Oreochromis niloticus: one gene and its partner. The main gene of each other region encodes a partner of the protein of the gene in region 2 in a complex. Links are inferred from orthologs where the notes say so. Each region holds a gene or a part of one and is shown on either strand. Other genes may lie near its edges.

Region 1 (3,755 bases), on a different chromosome or scaffold from region 2:
GATGCAGGAGGTGCACATTGTTGCAGAACGCCGATAGCATTACAAAACTGATCAGCAAGCTGGACACACAAAACAAAACCAGTAATAGGTTACGCTGTTATTTGAACAAGACACTAGCTGCTGCTGCTGATAACATAAACTTCAGACAAAAGAAATTTAAAGACATTTCTTTCATCAGTTTTACCAAAGTATGTTTTTTTTTTTAAAATTATTATTATTATAAAATATAGATATTTAGTTTACCAGTGTCAACCATAAGGCCCGGAGACCAGAATCCAATTTTACCCACTGTAAAAATGTGAAGGCATGCTTAAGTTTTGGACTTTTAACTGTATTTTCATAAGTTTTACAGCTTCTCCTGAAGATAAAACCTCCCCCAAATAATGAAATGAGAGAAAGTTCATTTTTTAAACTATCTACTATAGAAATCTGTGCTTTTTACAATGGGGTCACATTACAAAATATATTATTACAGGACAGTCTACACAACAAGCCAAAAGAACTTTTTCTGTTATTTTAGTAAGTAAGTAAAATGTATTTATATAGCGCTTTTTAAAACAGGAAGTTTTTTCAAAGTGCTTCACATGGGAATAAAAGCATATCAATCGATACAATAAAACACTATAAATAGGGTATAGTAGCATATCCAGTAAAACAGTTTGCTACACATGAATATTACCTAAATGCCTGTCTAAACAGATGTGTTTTGAGCTGTTAAAAGTAGCTACAGAGTTGATGGTGCGTAGCGGGTGAGGTAAACTGTTCCATAATATTAGAGCCAAGGCTTGAAAAGCGCAATCCCCCTTCGTTTTCAAACGGGTCCATGGAATGGTTAGAAGACCACTATCAGTGGATCTAAGGATCCGGTTTGGAGAAGCTTAGTGATATAAGTGGGGGCCTCACTTGTAGGCACATGAATGTAAAAGTGAGGATTTTAAACTGATATCTATACTCAACCGGAAGCCAGTGCAAGGATTTTAACACAGGGGTGATATGGGAGAATTTATGACTGTGGGATAAAAGCCTTGCTGCGGCATTTTGGACCACTTGGAGGCGATTTAGGGAAGCCTTAGACAGACAAGAAAAGAGTGCGTTACAGTAATCTAAACGAGAGGAGATGAAGGCATGGACAAGCATCTCCAATTTTACACATTTATTTCCTACAATTTAAGCCCAACAAGTCACACTGACAAACTTTTCTTTATTGTGTAGAAAAACTATATTACAATGTCTCAGGGATTAAATGTGTAGTTAAAGTTCTGACTGTAAGTGACAGAAAGGGTAGTTTCACTGATTGGCCCAAAGTGCATAGTGTGTTGTATGTAGGCCACCAAGCAAAAGGAGAATGACATCCCTGGTCTAGAACCACCCTTAAATAATTATTATTATTATGTTTGTTTGTTTGTTTTGGAAAATGACAAATAGGTGCAGCACTTTATTGAAATGGGAAAAAATATGTGGAAATACAGTATGTAAGGCAAAAACAGACTTTGCAATATTCTAGCAAGCTGGTACAACATGAAGGATCAAAATCTGACCTACTTTTCTCCATTCGTAATTCCTTTAAGTTCAACTTCTGTTCAAGACCACTGAAATAAATAAGAAAATTTGGTCCCTTGCAAGCCAAATATAGAGAAATTACTTTTGCATGTTAAATACTTCTGAATATCAAATGTTGACCCTCTGGGGTTACTTTCCCACGTTAGTTTAGTATTTTTCTTTTCCAAATATATTTATTTTGTATTATTTTGTTCAAGGAAGCTAGCCAAAACGACGTTTTAACACTGTAACACTTCGTTGTTTAAAATAACTGAGCTGGTTTGGTCGTTTCGTAACACAGGCCTTTAACTATACTTGCTATAATGGTTAGCTACCCCGTGTTGTTCACATGTTACTAAACTACTCGAGCCACTGGTTTGCGTTAGCTACCAACTCTAATCGACATGACGATGCATTTTATATATTTTTTTACACCTCCTTCTACCAAAGAACGTTTAAGATATTCAACATTTGCCTTACCGAATTGACTGCGTCTTGAAGTTGTGTTAGCCGGTCCGCCATATTGTCTGTTTCTGACGTAACTGTCGCGAGAACATAAAACATCTCGCGGTATATTCGGTATTTTGGGAACCTTGGTTGGCAAAGGTTGGGTTACTTACTTTTACCGTCTCACAACTGGGTTCACAGCAAACTTGAAACGCGTTAAAAATCGATATTTTCATATCAGCGGAGGTTATCTTCTATTTTAACGAGGAACGGATCTTTATTAGACCCTGTTTGTGGCTGCTTTATGAGGACTAATGTTAGCCTTTAGCTAATATTAGCTACTAAACATCAACAGGAAGTAGCAGCGGAGTTAACGCAATTCCAATGTCTTGTACTGTGGCTTCCCCAGGTATGATCATTTTTGTTTCTTTAATTCATTATCTAAAATTGCATGGCAACACCGATTTGATATACGCACCCGTTTATAATGCGAGCATGTAAGTGGATTTGCATGAAAGCTTAACTCTGATTAGTAAGTTGGCTAATAAGTGAGCCCAGCTTGTGTGTGTATGTATGTATGTATGTATGTGTTGTTAAAATATATTTTACGTTGTCAGCTTACTGAATTTGGAAAACTGAGAAACTAATTCCCTTCACGTTTTATATAGCTGAGACGAATGTGCTTCAGAAGTAATTATGTAAAGTGAATCTGACGCCTAAAACACGCAAGGCTTGCTCGTAATAAGCGAATTAGCTGACACAGCAGCTGTAATGACGAGTAGGTCGAGGAGGAGAAAGCCTAGACACAATGTCAATGAATGATTTTTAGCTGGTATTTTGAAGTCAGAGCTGACGCTTCAGTTGAGGTTACTTCTTGGTTTTCAGATATTTTTAAAATTATATAATACCAATATCGTGGTGTTGTTGTTTGATCAAGCAAAATAGATCTAGATCAAGCATTTCTGATTTAAGTCGTGTTTAAAACATATTAAAGTGATTATCATATAGAAAAAGACAACTTTTATAGAAAAAGGCTGCTGTAACATATTGCTGCTTAACAGCAGCAATAGCTTGCAAAAAGCCACTGCATCATGGTATATACATAGGTTTTTTTAGGACTGTTCAGAGTTCCCAGAAAACTTTCACTTGACTGCAGCTGCTGTATGTACAGATACAAAGTCAGCCTACCTTTAAATAAAGAAGCTATTTTAATAAGATATAATTCAATAGTGTCAGTCATCACTATAATGAATAGCTTGCTAATGGATAATTGCTTTAACCAAATGTAATACTTAAGGGAAGAAAAGAAGGATTGACGAGGTGGATGACTACTATGTTTGCAAGCAACCTTGTCCTAGCTCCTCTTAAGAATCACTTGTATTTCCTCAGGCATGAACTGTACATTAGAGAAGGTCCTGGCAGATGCCAAATCATTAGTGGAAAGGCTTCGCAACCATGACAACGCTGCTGAGATGTTAATCGAACAGACGACACATCTCAACAAGCGAGTAGAGGCCATGAAACAGGTAGGGTGTCACATGAACTTGGGGAAATGTGAGGCCTAAAGCATTTGATGTAGAATCCATGAAGTTTATTTCAAAAGCTGGAATAACACTTTTTAAAAAGTATTTTTTAATTGTTATGATGATCTATCATTTTATATTTTAGACTGAAGGTTTTTCTGCTTGTTCTTTTTATTGATAGTACCAGGAGGAGATAGACGCCCTGAACGAGGTTGCACGGCATCGGCCTCGTTCCAGTCTAGTCCT
Region 2 (3,755 bases):
CCTGTTGTAGTAAGACAGTTAACTCGCTGATTGCAGGATGAAAAACTGTGAAAGCACCGCCGCTCAGTTCCCTTCCACCCTCTGCAAAAATGCTGCTGCCTGGAGAGTCAAAAACACCTTGTTTTCAGTGCGAAAGTGCTGCTTCCGTTGTGTGCCTAATACATGATGCTGCCTGTCAAGATCTCTCTTGCTTTTTTAAAAAAAAAAAAAATCTCCTGTGAGACAATTATTCCACTAATTCTCATTCTCAGATCTTCTTCTATTTCCAAGTTATGAGCTAGGTAGCATTTTTTTCTAGCAGCGCCATGCATAAAACTATTATTTTCTGAAAATCAGAGTTTTGGGGGGTTTTTTTATTTGTTTTTGTTTTTTTTCTTTAGTCTCTGGCTGTAGAGATATCTGACAGTGGCAGCAGCAGGGCTCCTTTCCAAGTTAGTTGCTTGGCAATGCATTAGAGTTCCTGCAAGATTTCCAGTGAAATGATTATTTAAAGGGGGTGGAGGATAATGGCCACTGTGCTCTTCATAGGGAGAAAAGAAATGACTGTTTATCTATTGTTTACTTGCCAGATTCATGCAAACACACAAATAATTGGCCAGTCAGTTGTGGTAGCATTTGAACCCTGCATTTTAAAGCGTCACGAGATTTGGTTTGGTTTGAAAATGTGATAGCAAAGTTGATTTATTCTCGTTAAACCCTCCTTTTATGATATCAGGCATATAGTGATGAAATATGCTGTTTATTCCGAATCACTAACCCGTGTTAATGATTGCCTAATAACAACATCACCGATTGGTTCACCTTTGTACAGCAGGCACACATTAAAGCATGCCTCCCCACTGTCTTATGACTTGTCCATCACAACCGCCTCGCGTGTCTGTGACGAACGTGATTTATTAATACCGTACCAGAGAGAAGATGTTGGAGTGGCAGTCCTCAAGGCTTGCCCCGTTAGCCACCCAATTCGCCGATGTAGTCATAATGGTCCGCCTTTGGGGTCGTCAGCGCAGGGCATGTCGAAATCCTACATCGGTTATCAAACACCGAGCAGGGGCTGACAAATCGGTTCCCTCACGAGTCTGCCCCCAAAAAATAAAAAAATAAAAAATAATAATATATATATAAAAAAAAAAATTAAATAAAAAAAACAAAACAAGCAGGCTTATAACCTCACAAGAGGTCCGGATAATAGGCTCGGAGTGGTCTGATGGGCGTATTCAAAAAGAAGTGCAGAATGCATTAAAAAAATAAAAATAAAATAAAAAAAATGCCTGTGTTGTAGTGTTGATATATCCAAGCGTGAGCGGGGGATCACAACATTGTTACAATCCAGGTCGGGCGATTCCAAATCTGATCACTGTCAACAGCCGGAGAGCGCACAAATGTATCCATTTCAATCCCGAGGAAGATCCGCCTGTTTCCAAATCAGTCTCTCCGCGGATAGTTTCATCATTAAATGACCGTAATCCATTTGTAGGGGGGGGGGACGACGACTCCCTTTTCTTCCTCGCTCTGGGAACAGCCTACCTCCTCTCCTCTCCTCCTCCTAAAACAAACAAAAAAAATTAAAGAGTCAAAACTTCTTGAAATATAATCGCTGCAGTGCGAAACAATCAAGTTGAGGAGCACGCAGGATATCTGATTCCGTTTCCACAAGCTGATGCACCACTTGTGATAGTTTTCGAGAATCGCGTGTGCTATTTATAGCCGTCTTTCTTGTCACAACCGTTCCTCTCACAATAATGTAACCCCAGTGTGCGTGTCTCTCACAAACACACACACACACAAACGGGTGGTGCGGGCAGGAATGTTTAATCCCTCTGTTGCTCTTGAATTAAACGGGAGCGCAGACGGAGAGGTCTCTAAAAAAGAAAAAGCTTCCCCCTCCACACACACACAAACACACACCAACCAACCAACCAAGTGCACCTCCGCGGCAGGACGGACAAAGTCGAGCGGGTTCCTCAGTTAGCCTGAATCATGAGTCAAAGCGTTGAGACAAGAAAAAAACTATTCTTACAGGGCTCACTCCACCAGCAGGAAAACGACAAACAGGCGTCTGTGCAGACGGAGGTTTGAAAAAATCCTTCCTTCCTTTCAGCTTTATATCATTACGAAACGTCCTCTCGCGACCACAACAGCCTCAGTCTTGCACACCAGAAAAAAAAAATACATATATCAGGTAGGATTTCTTTAAAAACGCACAGTTCAAGCAGAAGTGGCCGTCCTTGTCTGGCGCCCGTTGCTGACATAAAGAATATGTTGCATGCTGCAGATATAAATATATTTGAAATGTCTCATAAAGCACCACCTCGGCATTTAAAAGCGCATCCTCCTGTTTCTCTTTCGCTATTGAATTAAATCCTCAAAGGCGTGTTTGGTTTCCTCGGCGGCGACTCCTTCCTCATTGTTTATCTCTCAGATGGCGTTATTATGCAGCTATGGAAGTGTATGCGTGCGCGCAGCCCGAATGTGTCACTCTCACCCTCCGTGTCTGTTTGTTTTACGCCGAGCGCTGTGGCGTTTCTTCGCGCACGATCGTCCAGCCCACCGCGCATTGTAATGTAATGGCGGTCGGAAGCGTACTACCCGAGACTCGCCTTTTCCATTTGGCCAAGTTTGTACTCACGTGATCAAAGTCCAGGATTACAGTAGTTGAGTGTATTTGATATTAGAGGCGGACGCGACAGTCGCCGAGATTCCTTTATTGTTGCCATGTGCGCTTTGTTTCTGTGATCTTTTGTTCTGCCTGAAACGCGCAGTGAAGGGTTATTATTTTATTTATTATATTTTTTTATTTTTTATCACTGCACGGTGTCATTCTGTGATGCATTGGTTACATAATGTATCTGTGCTCTCACAACAGAGGATGTGACAGAATAGAGGTCAGAATGACTTACTGAGCACACTGTGTTTCATAAGAGATATCTATGTAGGTTAGTCTTACACTCAGCATGTGCATCACATATTATCTGAAAACATTTCTGAGGCTTTTCTCACGCGAAAAAATAAAAATACTCAATATGACTCAAACCAAAGATTGGGAGTTATTTAGAGTGGTTGTATTCAGGGCCGCAGCTAAGATTTAAAAGATACACCGGTTATCATGAGTCAAGTCCACCATGAACCCCACCCTAGCCCCACCATGAACCCCACCCTAGCCCCAAGCCCCAACTATTGTTTTAGTGTACGGTGTCAATAAAGTTAAATATTTATTTTTAAAAACATTTAAAAATGCTGAAATGCATTTTGAATATATTTTTAATGCTAAAATATAATTGTTGCTGTCATCAATGAATTTTCAAATGTACAGTTTTACAAAAAAAGAAAACAGTCAAGCACATTTTTTTTTAAATTAAGATACCGAATTCCAGTTAGTTATTAAGTTATTCACCTGGTGATGAAACTATGCTGAAGGGTGTTTCTTTCGTCTCTTTGCATTTTACATTTTTATCTATCGGGTGTTATTAATGATTGATCAACAAATAGCTAATATTGGGAGATAATAGTAGCCTGCTGATACGGCCCCATTCAGGCTTTGGTAACTGGGCAATAGTTTGCTAAAGCTTTTACTATACATTAAAACAGCATTAAAAGTGAAAGTACCTCTGTAATTTGCTTACAGCTTTACATATTCCAAAACATAAAGGCCACACATTTGATAAATGCAGGTTTGAATAGAGATTTGTTGGTTTCCTCTCAAGATCAACTGTTGTATATACACTTAGCAAATGCTGTCACTGAACACTGTTTTC

The links. Proteins that work in one complex are often made in the same cells at the same time.
Region 1: mediator of RNA polymerase II transcription subunit 13-like (region 2) and med21 share a complex: the UniProt entries of both Homo sapiens proteins name them as parts of the mediator complex. The link is inferred for Oreochromis niloticus from reciprocal best matches to the Homo sapiens genes MED13L and MED21.

Annotation. Positions count from the first base shown.
Region 1 is NC_031981.2:34,719,011-34,722,765, reverse strand, and holds the start of med21 (mediator of RNA polymerase II transcription subunit 21), read right to left. Parts: upstream 2,160-3,755; 5' UTR 2,104-2,159; coding exon 2,020-2,103; intron 60-2,019; coding exon 1-59. Other genes in the region: fgfr1op2 (FGFR1 oncogene partner 2 homolog), read left to right, coding at 2,371-2,395, 3,376-3,512, 3,691-3,755. UniProt on the Homo sapiens protein: Component of the Mediator complex, a coactivator involved in the regulated transcription of nearly all RNA polymerase II-dependent genes.
Region 2 is NC_031972.2:20,823,904-20,827,658, reverse strand, and holds the start of mediator of RNA polymerase II transcription subunit 13-like, read right to left. Parts: upstream 2,558-3,755; 5' UTR 981-2,557; coding exon 909-980; intron 1-908. UniProt on the Homo sapiens protein: Component of the Mediator complex, a coactivator involved in the regulated transcription of nearly all RNA polymerase II-dependent genes.